Linked DNA regions of Canis lupus familiaris. The protein of the gene in region 2 binds, or shares a complex with, the protein of the main gene of each other region. Links are inferred from orthologs where the notes say so. Each region holds a gene or a part of one and is shown on either strand. Other genes may lie near its edges. The genes, in order: ZMPSTE24, LMNA and BANF1.

Evidence for each region.
Region 1: the proteins of LMNA (region 2) and ZMPSTE24 are in contact, whole or in part, in a crystal structure (PDB 2YPT), measured with the Homo sapiens proteins. The link is inferred for Canis lupus familiaris from reciprocal best matches to the Homo sapiens genes LMNA and ZMPSTE24. Residues at the interface, in NP_001393912.1 of Homo sapiens: Cys661, Ser662, Ile663, Met664; in NP_005848.2 of Homo sapiens: Ser264, Asn265, Ala266, Tyr267, Phe268, Val332, His335, His339, Glu415, Leu438, Asn439, Asn442, His459, Arg465.
Region 3: the proteins of LMNA (region 2) and BANF1 are in contact, whole or in part, in a crystal structure (PDB 6GHD), measured with the Homo sapiens proteins. The link is inferred for Canis lupus familiaris from reciprocal best matches to the Homo sapiens genes LMNA and BANF1. Residues at the interface, in NP_001393912.1 of Homo sapiens: Ser431, Gln432, His433, Ala434, Arg435, Met540, Lys542; in NP_001137457.1 of Homo sapiens: Val11, Ala12, Glu13, Pro14, Glu83, Asp86, Ala87, Phe88.

Annotation. Positions count from the first base shown.
Region 1 is NC_049236.1:2,743,965-2,747,606, reverse strand, and holds part of ZMPSTE24 (CAAX prenyl protease 1 homolog), read left to right. Parts: intron 1-479; exon of another isoform or gene 480-586; intron 587-2,248; coding exon 2,249-2,392; intron 2,393-3,642. UniProt on the Homo sapiens protein: Transmembrane metalloprotease whose catalytic activity is critical for processing lamin A/LMNA on the inner nuclear membrane and clearing clogged translocons on the endoplasmic reticulum.
Region 2 is NC_049228.1:41,701,988-41,706,227, reverse strand, and holds the start of LMNA (lamin), read left to right. Parts: upstream 1-1,326; 5' UTR 1,327-1,538; coding exon 1,539-1,894; intron 1,895-4,240.
Region 3 is NC_049239.1:51,771,610-51,775,438, reverse strand, and holds BANF1 (barrier-to-autointegration factor), read left to right. Parts: upstream 1-1,517; 5' UTR 1,518-1,800; exon of another isoform or gene 1,801-1,831; intron 1,832-2,442; 5' UTR 2,443-2,457; coding exon 2,458-2,580; intron 2,581-2,789; coding exon 2,790-2,936; 3' UTR 2,937-3,319; downstream 3,320-3,829. Other genes in the region: probable RNA-binding protein EIF1AD, read right to left, coding at 140-226. UniProt on the Homo sapiens protein: Non-specific DNA-binding protein that plays key roles in mitotic nuclear reassembly, chromatin organization, DNA damage response, gene expression and intrinsic immunity against foreign DNA.

The DNA.
Region 1 (3,642 bases), on a different chromosome or scaffold from region 2:
ACTGAGCCAATCAGGCGCCCCTAAAATGCTTTCTTTTTTTTTTTTTAATTTTTATTTATTTATGATAGTCACAGAGAGAGAGAGAGAGGCAGAGACACAGGCAGAGGGAGAAGCAAGCTCCATGCACCGGGAGCCTGACGTGGGATTCGATCCCGGGTCTCCAGGATCGCGCCCTGGGCCAAAGGCAGGCACTAAACCGCTGCGCCACCCAGGGATCCCAAAATGCTTTCTTTTTAAACCTTTTTTCTCATTTAGAAGTCATTATACATCTATTGAAGAGGACTGTAGTAACTAAACAAGAAAATAACAATTCCTTTAACATTCCTCCTCTGGGGTCTAAATCAGCTCTCTAAACCAACAGTTACCACAGTTGTTAGGCTCCAGGTGAAATAGCACTATATTCTGTTGACTGGTTCTGAGCAGATGTGGCCTTAGCTGAGTCTGAAGTGGGTGTTTTGTCTTGTTTTGTTTTGTTTTCATGTCAGATGGGTAATGTGCTAAGGTCATAACAAGGTTTGAGGGAGGCACATGTCCTACAATGGCGTAATAGGCTAATAGACTGTGTGCTCAGCAAAAGCCAGTGGGGGGAATATCTGGGTTGTTGGTTAATGCACTGACTCCATCCCTGGCACCTTGGCCTTTGTTCAAGAGCCCCTTGACCAAGTCCTAGAATAGCTGGGGAGAGAAGCTAACATCCGCAGAGTAGGTATCTTCACCTTACTGACAGCTTCCTTTGCTGTGGCCTCTTTTAGTGAACATTCACATTGGACTAAAATATTATACTCTGGGCTAATTTTGGAAGCTTTTCCACATACCCTATTTTCCACATCTTGTTAGCCATTCTTAAGTTCATTCCAATTCCCTGATCATCCAGCCAAACCATTATTTGCCCACTGCCAGTGATTGTATATTCTTAGCTCAGGCCTTCTGTCCTTCCAAGCTGAGTGAGCAATGAAATATACTACCCAAAGTTTCCCTCATTTAGAGTATTTCCTTTATTGTTGTCTTCCAAGTACAGCCCCAAGTGGTTCTGTAATGCCACAACAGTCTACTTTGAGCCAGTGCCAGCATAGTTGTACTAAGTTAATTGTAAAACAGGCTCACATTTTTCCTCCTCAATTAAATGATTATAGGGAGCTCCCCATGAGTAAGGGTTGATTGAGGGGGGTGGTAGCGTGGCAGGAGTTGACATACTAGGAGTATGATCCACTTGCTCATTTAATGTACTTCTCCCTTCATGACATCCTTCATTCCCACTTGCATATGTGCCGCTTATATCTGATTTGGAGTGCTTCAGGGCCTACCAGTTTTCTGGCTAGGTGGATCAACATGGCAGTCAGTTTAGGAAGGGCAGCTCAGATTGCAGGTTTGTAGTGTCCCACAATCAGGAATCAGTCTCTGGTAGGGCCCAATAGCAAACTAAAAGTTGTTTTTCAAAAGGCAAGTAGTTACTTGACAAAAATGGCATGCATAGCTTATTTTAACTCTAGGGGCCTTCACTGTGAGTGAAGTTTTCTGTTGGAGCTTGTCATGTTGAATCTACTGAATTATAAGGACTAAATGATAGAGCTGGTTGTGCTTCAACCCAGGCCAGCTGGCGAACCTTATGCTGAGCCCAACTCTAGGCTGGTAGCTTTTGAGTCATCTGGCAGATGGTTTAGAGCAGTACATTTGAATAGGGTACCTCTGGCCTCCAAGATCCTGACCACCCAGTACCCCTTTTACTCATATTTTGGTACAGATTTTTTATTTTTTTATTTCCCTCCCCTCATTTATTGTTAAAGGTACATCTACTTTTTTTTTGGACCTTAGTACTCAGTACAGCTCCAGTGGTTCTAAAAAGTAGGGAGTCTTGTTTTTTTGGAGCTTCCACATCAAGGTGAGTGGAAGGCCTTGTGTCTGATTACAATTTAGTGCAAACAGAGCCAGAATCCATTCTAGCCTTTTAGCTTTTTACAGAAAGAAAATACTCCATTGCTATTGGCCACTTCAGACTCTCAGTCATAGGAGGCTCCACTTAAACTTGCCTATCCATATAGAAACCTACAGTTTAGACATTTGGGGAAATTTTATTTTTCTTTCTAGGATAAAACTGTAAAATTACCCAAATAACTTTTTCTATGATTACACTAAAACTATTCGTAGTTAGAATCACACCATGATGTCTGATTCTAGTTTTTTGGTGCTTCTGATCCCATTGTGAAATCACCTTAGTAATAACTTAGGAATTTTGTGTCTTTCTTTCTAGATGAATTCTTTCCTGTGTTTCTTCTTGTTTGCTGTATTAATTGGTCGAAAGGAACTTTTTGCTGCGTTTGGTTTTTATAACAGCCAACCCACTCTAATTGGATTATTGATCATCTTCCAGTTTATTTTTTCACCTTACAATGAGGTAATGTATAATCGTTAAAGTTATCTCACATATGCCCTTGCATTTCAAATCTAGAACCTTTAGGATAGTGAAAAAAGAAATAAAACTATATTTTTAACAAGTAGATGATTTAATCCTTTCATTTGCTGGCCAGTCTAAGAAAGTAGCAGAAAAACCCAAGCCCAAATGAACAAATGCTTGCATGCTGCCAGCAGGGGTGGGGGTGGGGGGGTGAGTAGAGGACTAGACTTTAGTGATGGAAACCTTGATCTAACCTGTACCTCAGAGACTTGGTAGATGGAGATTAACTATTGGAATGCTATGTTCTAGATCACATATTCCCCAGTGCTTGGCTGAAAATCTTGTGTATGTGAGGGAATGAAACAATGATAGTTGAGTATATGTATGTATGTATGTATGTATGTATGTATGTATGTATATGTATGGCTAAATATGGGAGACAGTATGATGACACTGTTCCTCTGATTGTGTTCTCTGACTACCCGCTTCAGAATAGCCTTAAGGGTCCCACCTCAGGCCCTTTTGGTGTGTTATGGTAAGTGAGGTCAGATTGCTCAGTAGCGGGACTCCATGCAGGTGGTAAGGCATGGGTTAATGAGACTGTATATTAACAAATCTGATGATGGCAACATGTCATGATATTTAATAAATTAAGTCAAATTAAGCCAAGAAATAATATTGGGGATTTTGAGATGTTTCCATACAGAAAGATTCTTTCCTGGAGACAGGTTGTAAAGATTTTTTTTTTCTTTTCTTTTTTTTTTTAATTTTTATTTATTTATGATAGTCACAGAGAGAGAGAGAGAGAGAGAGGCAGAGACACAGGCAGAGGGAGAAGCAGGCTCCATGCACCGGGAGCCCGATGTGGGACTCGATCCCGGGTCTCCGGGATCGCACCCTGGGCCAAAGGCAGGCGCCAAACCGCTGTGCCACCCAGGGATCCCAGGTTGTAAAGATTTTAAGATAAACTAAATGAATCCTGTTTCTCCATTACAAAGGGGGAAAGGGTTGGAAAAGAAAAATAGAAAAGAATAGATCATATTTACATAGCATTGTCCATATAAACTAAGAAAGTTTCCCAAAGCACTGAGATTTACTACCTTTACATTCTTTTTTTTTTTAACTGAAAGTATTTTCTAAAATGCCTTATGCATTTTGTTACTAGTTAAATGGATTAGAGACACTTTTTGTTTTTAAGATTTTATTTTTAAGTAACTTCTACACCCAACATGGGGCTTGAACTCACAACC
Region 2 (4,240 bases):
GCTGTGGGAGGCACAGGGGCAGGACATAAAAGCACGTGGGTTCTGGAGCCTCCGCCTGCCACCTCCTAGAAAGGATGAGATGGCCCGTGGGGCCAGGGCCAGGATTATGGGGGGCCAGTAGAAGACAAACCAGAGGAGTCCTTGGTAAGGGCTGAGGATAGAGGCTCCAGAGCCTGGGGTGGGGAAACCTGGGGATCTGGGTGATCCAGTGGCAAAGCAGACCTGGTCAGAGAGGGATGCAGAGATGAGTGCAGGGCTGGCCTTTGCAGCCAGGAAGGTTGTGGGGTCTTTGCTGTCCCAGCCCCCCTAGTACTGCCTTTCTGGTTGAAACCAGGACAGAGACCCACCACTGGCTGTCCAGCCCCTGCCATGCTCCCCCTTCCAGGCCCCTCTGGGAACCACAAGAATCTGGGACCTGGTGTCCTGGCAACGTGATGAATGCACGCACAGCTCTGGTATCTGTTTTAAATTATCCATTAAAATAAGTACAGTCCTGGAAAAAAAAAAAATAAGTACAGTCTTGGAGTTGGCAGGGTGGGATAGAAGGAGTAGAAAGGGGAGGAACCAAGGCAGCCTCTTTTTCCAGTTGCTTGAGTCTGAAGGAAGGGGGCAAGGGATGGGGTGAGTGCCTGGGTCCCACTCTTGGCTTTCTGTGGGGGCATGTAGCTTGGCACTTGGGCCTAAGACCCAGTGCTTGGTTTTGAAGGGCGAAGTTGGAACAGAAGACAGGAAAAGAGGGACCTCAAACTTCTGGTCCCTGCCCCAAAACCGAGGGCTAAAGGAACTCAGGACCCAGAAACTCCCTGCAGCCTGGCTCCCCAGGGAGCCCAGGCATTCCTTCCCCACCCCACCCTGGCACACAGAGATGCTGCTTTGAATGGGCTGCCCACATGTGGAGGGGGGCAGGGGTGACTCACTATTACTATGGGAAGGAGAGGGGGAGCCAGCGGTGGAAGGAGAGTGAGTCACCCCATGGGCACCAGCCTCAGCCCTCCCCCACCTTTCCTGGATCTGCCGGCCTGGCGCTTTCTCTCTTCCTCCTGCCCTTTGCCCACCCACCCGCACCCTTTGGCTCGGCCTTCTTCTACACAGGAAGGCCCGAGTCCGAGGGGACAAGCGTCGGGGCTGGACCGGGAGCCCGGAGCAGGCGGAATCCAGGAGGGAGAAGCCCCAGGCCCGGCGGGTGCGCAGGGCGGGGTGGAGCCCCACTCAAGCCGCCGCCCCGCGGGGCTCGCCCTTCCCCACCGCCCCCTCGCCTCCCGCTGCGGACGTGCGCGGCCCCTTTAAGAGCGGCGGCCCCTCCTCCCACTCCCTAGACCTATTAGAGCCGCTGCCCCGCGTCGGTGACTCAGAGTGTCCGCGGGAGCGCCGCAGCCACAGCCGCGCACCCAGATCCCGAGGTCCGACAGCGCCCGACCCAGACCCCTCGCCTGCCAGGAGCCCGCCGACAGCCCGCCGGCCCGCGCGCTCCCACCCCGAGCGGTCTCTGCCCTCTCCGGGACCTCTGCCCCGCGGGCAGCCCTGCCACCCTGCCGGCCATGGAGACCCCGTCCCAGCGGCGCGCCACCCGTAGCGGGGCGCAGGCCAGCTCCACCCCGCTGTCGCCCACCCGCATCACCCGGCTGCAGGAGAAGGAGGACCTGCAGGAGCTCAATGACCGCCTGGCGGTCTACATCGACCGTGTGCGCTCTCTGGAGACGGAGAACGCGGGGCTGCGCCTTCGCATCACCGAGTCGGAGGAGGTGGTCAGCCGCGAGGTGTCCGGGATCAAGGCCGCCTACGAGGCCGAGCTCGGGGATGCCCGTAAGACCCTCGACTCGGTGGCCAAGGAGCGCGCCCGCCTGCAGCTGGAGCTGAGCAAAGTGCGGGAGGAGTTCAAGGAGCTCAAAGCGCGGTGAGTGCGCCCAGGTGGTGGCGCGGGGTGGGACCGGAGAGGGTGGGCGGACAGTCGCCCTGGTCCCACAGCAGCCGGCCCATAACTCGGCCTTCCAGTCCCCTCCCTCCCCGGAACTGCCCCAGCGGGTGACTGGCAGTGCCAAGGGAAACTGTCAAGACAGGACTGAGAAGGGAGGGGTCTCTGGGAGAGGGTGGTGGATATAGGGAACGGTGGGGTCATCGGGGCCACGCAAGGACTGATGGTAGGCCCACAGTCTGTCTGGGTGGGGGCTGCCAGCCCTTTGGAGCTGAAGGCAGGGGCCTGGGCAGAGGACGGCTGGCCCTGCTAAGTTCAAGAAATCTGGACACTCAGGACACATTGAAATGGGTGAAATGGTCCTGTTAAAACTTTCTTGGCTGACTTGGCAGTGTGCCAACTTTGCCCAGACTGTCTCTGGACGCATAAGCACCCATGCTGGCGGGCGTTCAGTGGTGCTGGAGAGAGGTTACCAAGGCAGGGACGTGGAGGGGACCTCCTTGGCACAACTCTTTCCAGGATTCTAAGAGTTGGGAAGCTCTCCCTCACTACTTGCAGGTCTGGGACCTTTCCTGGGCTCTGACAGGCCCTCTAAACAGCTTGAGGAGCTCCGCTCCCCCGCAGCTCCCACAGCCCTTGGCCTTCTTGGCCCAGGAATGCAGGAGAGGGAGGGAGACCGAGGGCAGAGGCTCCCGGCTCAGGCTCAGGAAGTTGTGTTATACCCAGGTCTGGTGCACCCCCTTGGCCCTCTGCTTGGTGTCTTGGACATTGGGGGCTGCTTCTCCTGGCCTGTCTGCTTGGGGTGAACCACTTTCATTTCCTGGCCAAATCTGAATAATCTTTGCTGTGGCCCATCCACTCAGCCACTGAAGGTTTTTTGATCTTCGCCTTATGAAACTGCTGGAATAGGTGACATATTTGAAATCCAGCCGTTGGCCGCTTGAGGCCCCTCCTACCTCACCCATCCCAGCCCCACCCTACCCCACCCTACTTGACTCCACCCTCCTTTCTAAAAAGGCCTCTGGATCCTGGAAGTTCAGGCCCTCTTTTCCTGGCCCCTGAAAATTTGTTTTCCTCTTCTCTGTTACCTCTTTCTCTATGAACACCCAAGCCAGAGAGCACTAGGGTGTTTGAGATCCCTGGGACAGGAGGCCCCGTGGCTTGATGTCCCCTCATTCCCCCCCTTTCAATCTTCTTCTCCAAACTCTTGCTCTCCTGGGAGCCTCTATGTGTCCAGTGAGCTTTCTGCCCTTCACCGGCCAGGCCCCTGGCCCGGTGGGCGTGGGTACCCATCCCCTTGGGAAGAGTAGGTGGAGACAGTACACACAGACAGGCTGACTTTTTGGAGACACCATGGAAGGAGATCACTCCCGTCTTTTTGCAGTAGTGATAGGAACAACTGAGCTAGCAGGACAGACAGGAGGCAAGATGGGGGCGGGGGCAGAGAATCTATGTCAAATTAGTCTGCTCAGTGACCAAATCCCCCCACTGCTGATTCCTGTGACGAGCTTTCTCAGCAGGTCTTTCTTTGGGGAGGACATTGATCGGAAAACGGGATGAGTAGACTCTGCGATCTCTGGCTAGCCCCACCACGCCAGGTTGTCTGTCTCTGCCTCTGGCCTAGTGCAGCTGTCCAGGCCTGGGCCGCCAGGCGGGTATGTGCGCACGTGGGGCAGGGGCGGGGGTGGTGTGTGTGTGGACTGGTTATATTTAGCCATCTGCCTCTTTCTTCCCCTGTGATCCTGGCTGGGGAGGCTGGGCTTCTGGGAGAGGGGGTGGGTCTGCACACCTGGATCTCAGGCTGCTGGGAGGCAGGGTGGAGACAAAGGGGACTTCAACTGGGGTGTGGGTCCCCTTCCGTGTCTCCAGTGGGAGGCCCCAGGATGGGCTGCTGCTTTTTATGTCTGCTGTGCTCAAGGTGAAGCAGAGAAGAGGAAAATGAAGAACTTGGGAAAGGAAGAAAAGCATTGTCGTAACTCCTCGCACTAAAGCCTAGAGAGAAGGTGTCCTCTGGTTTAATGTTTAATTAGAGCTCAGAGTTCAGGGCTGGGCTTCTGGTTGGGATGCAGAACTGTCTATGAGATCCCTGTGGCAATCCCCGGCCCAGCCTGGTACCTTGACTACACCCAGGGCTTTCGGGCGCCCTCTCATTGGGCTGGGTTATAGGCTCCACGCAGAAACCCCCCCCCCCCCAGTACCCATACACACGTTCAGTCTATTCCAGAGTCTGAAGCATTTGGACCCTAAGTGTGAAAACAAGGAGCAGTAAACACCAGGAAAGCCCCACCCCCACCCCCACCCAGGGTCCAGGCTTAGAGCTAGGCCCCA
Region 3 (3,829 bases), on a different chromosome or scaffold from region 2:
AAGAGTGACCAAGAACTCATCAGCCTTATCAGTCAGCTCAAATACCCAGTAAGCTGTGCTACACTCTACCCCCATCACAAGGGCCCAAGAGGAGTAGAGGGATGGGGAGGCAGAGCAGCTTGTGCCCAATGCCACTCACCCTCACAATCTGCTGCTGGTCAGAGGGCACCATGTGCTCCCCCAGCACCTCCTTCACCACATGCTTCCTCTTGGTGGCCTGAGACATGCTGGGTCCTGTCCCAGGGCAGTGAGGGACGCAGAGACTGTCAACTCCTGAGTTTCTTGGATGACAAGTTCAGAACCCAGGATTGTTCTGAAAATAGAGAGATCCTTTTTACTAAGGAGTGACTGTGTCCTGGTTAAGAACATGAACTCTAAAACCTAATTACTAGGGGGATCCCTGGGTGGCTTAGCGGTTTAGCGCCTGCCTTTGGCCCAGGGCGTGATCCTGGAGTCCTGGGATCGAATCCCACGACGGGATCCCTGCATGGAGCCTGCTTCTCCCTCTGCCTGTGTCTCTGCCTCTGCCTCTCTCTCTCTTATGAATAAATATATAAAAATCTTTAAAATAAGTAAGTAAATAAAATCTAATTACTAGGATTCAAATCCTTCCTTGGCTCTTTCCTAGCTGTTCAACTTCACTAGCTTCAGAGAAAAAATAATAGTTAAACCCAATCACTAATTAGTAGAATAAAATAATGCAAGCCGAGCACTTAGAACAGTGTATGGCAAACAAAAACAACTCACAAGTACTGGCAAAATCACAGAAACCGAATACCAGGTTCTACAGAAGTTATTGGGGAAACCTCTCAGGAAGGAGTGTGAGATAAACTGTATATTCCTCAACATATTCGTACATCCTATGTGTAGCACAGCCACGTAACACAGATGCCCAGCTTATCAACACACTACGGTCAAAAACCAGTGAGAAGACAGCGCGATGGTCCACTCCAGGAACGAGTTAACAAAAGTCGGGTAAGCCGGCTCGGCTGCGGCCACTGCCAGGTTTCTGACGTGGGTACCGAGAAGACGAGGACCGGCACCATGAAGGCTGACGGTTCCCAAAGGAAACTCCGAGGTGTGACCTCTGGCTGCCGTCCCCTGCCCACCCCCTTCCCTATCCTGGAAGAAAGACGCTCAGAGACCGACACTTACCCTCTGCCCTCGTCTCCCACGGGCGGTGCCCGAACGACCTTGTTCTCCAGACTGGACGCTGAGAGCGGCTCGCCCACGACTCAATTCGTAGCTGAGCCAACGAGGGCACGGGGAAGGGGCCCGCCGGCAGGCAGACGCACACTCAGGTCGCCCGCGCTTCCGACTCCTCCTAGCCGGGTGATCACAGGCGCTCTAGAGTCGGACCCTTCCGAACACCGTACTTCCGGGGCTATCGCGGAAGCTCACCAGCCGCCCTCCCCGCCTGGTCCGTCTCTCTAACTCTTCCCACCTCCGGGTCGGCCAAGGTTAAGTTCTTGAGTTCCCGATGCCGCGCAGCGGGGAATGGAATTTTCTCCAAGGCCTCAGGTCCCTGAGACCGGACAGGCTGCCCGAGAGGCGAGACCACATAAGGCAGCTGGGCTTCCCGCGAGGCAACCCGCAAGCGGTGCCTAGGAAGGGCGCCGCTGAGGTCGGGAGCGCTTCTCTCTATGGCTCTACGCGGCTAGAAGTGCCCAGAGGAGTTTTTTTAAAAGCGGCTCTACAGACGACCCGGAAGCGGAAGTGGAAGAAAGTTCTAGTGAGTTTGAGATATCGGTGGGAGCAGCCGGGTGGCGGTAGGAGCCGTTACGGGAGCCGGAGCTGCTGGTGAGCGTTCGCCGCGGAGCAGGGCCCGAGCTGGACGCGGGAGGGGGTGCGGGGAGGAGAGGGGCCTTAGCCGAGAAGCCCGCCAGAGGAAGCGCCCTCGGAGCCGGCCCGGCTGCCGTGCGGGGAGAGGGCGGGGCGCGGCGCGGCGCGGCGGCGCGTGGAGGGGGCGGGGCCGGCGGGCGGGGGGCGGGGAGTGCGGGCCCGCGGGGCGCAGGAGCGTGTGCACGCTTTTGGGTTAGTGCCCTCGCTCTGGGAGCGGTGCGTGCGGGCGCGTGGGACCGAGAGACCCTTCATTTGCTCCCTTCTTAGCCCGCCAAGGTCACAAAGGGAGTGACAGCCTCAAGGAGGACCCAGGCTACCGACTGGGAATCTTCCCGCTGCCCCGCGTGCGCCACCTGTGAGGGCGGGCTAGTTTTTCCCCTGGGGCTGGACGAGAACCCGGTTCCCACAGAGAACCATTCTTTTGCCCAGCGGGAAAAAGGCTCTTCTTGGACCTCAGTTCTCTTACCCATGAACCGAGGAGATCTGAGTGAGCCGCCGTAATGGCTGGATTAGCTTTCACTTAATATAAGTAACATTGTCACTGGGCCCTTGGGAGTACCTGGTTTGCAGCCCTAACTTACCTTTTCTTGGGATTCCCAGATTAAGCTGATCAAGATGACAACCTCCCAAAAGCACCGAGACTTCGTGGCGGAGCCCATGGGGGAAAAGCCAGTGGGGAGCCTGGCTGGGATTGGTGAAGTCTTGGGCAAGAAGCTGGAGGAAAGGGGCTTTGACAAGGTGTGGGTGGCAGCATGCACCTGGGGGATGGGGGTGAGGGTGGCCTCACTTTGTGGGTGAGGAAAGTGAGAGTAGATGTTGAGGGTGGCCTGAGGAGATAGCCACAGCTTGCCCACTTCCTAGGCTCATGTGCTTTGGATGCCACAAAAGTGGCTTTGTTCTTTCTTGGTCCCATGGAACTTAGCAGCATGCCCTTTCCCCGTTTGCAGGCCTATGTGGTCCTTGGCCAGTTTCTGGTGCTAAAGAAAGATGAAGATCTCTTCCGGGAATGGCTGAAGGACACATGTGGTGCCAATGCTAAGCAGTCCCGGGACTGCTTCGGGTGCCTTCGAGAGTGGTGCGATGCCTTCTTGTGAGGCTCTCTGGATAGCCCCCAGTCCCAAGCCCCAGCATGGAGTCTCCCGAGTTTGCAGCCGCGTGGGAACTCCTCCCCTGTCCTCTACAAAGGAAGAGATTGCTATTGTTGTACTCACTTCTGATGTACTTCAAGGTCTTTGGGAGTTCTCTTCCTCTCACCATTTCAACTTTTTTGAAATTCTCACTCTTGCATGCATCTCCCCACTCCTTCCCCCTGCCAGTTTCATGTCAACAATTATCAGCTTTACCGAGTGAGTTCCTGGCCCTTCCCTCACCCCCACCCCCACTAGTCTGGTCTGTTTTATGCTATTTGGCTCCTTTTTTGGCAGAACAGTCACTGTCCTTGTAAGGTTTTTTAAATCAATAAAGTCAGTGGCCTTCATGACTGGGCTTCATGTGTTCAAAAGCAGGTGGGCTGGGACTTCCCCAGGGACTGACCGGGTCTGCCACACTCCTTTATCAGTACAGATCGAAACTGCCAGCTTCCTTCCCACTCCGGAGGGCAGCCATGTGGGCCTCAGGCAGGTGCCTTGGAGTGTTCCTTAGTAATCTGGCAAAGAGTGTGGGTTGATCCCTTCCTGGGATCTGGGTGGGCTGTGATATTCCAGATACCAACCGAGTCAACAGCTGGGCTAGGCAGCACCTGGTGGAAAAATCAGTGGGAGTCAGGAATACCAGGAAGAGGGTGGATCAAATGTGGGTTAGAGTTTGTCTGCCAATCATCATATACTCTCCTGGCCTCTAGGAGAAGTGGGCAGGGCTCTGGTCGTCTGGCTGGTCCTCTTAGGGAGGCAGAAAAAACATAAGACATCACAGTTGTAGGGGCCTGAGTTAGTTGGGTACGTTTTTGTCCTGGTCTTTGTTGAACTCTTAGTACGAGCCAGGTCCACAG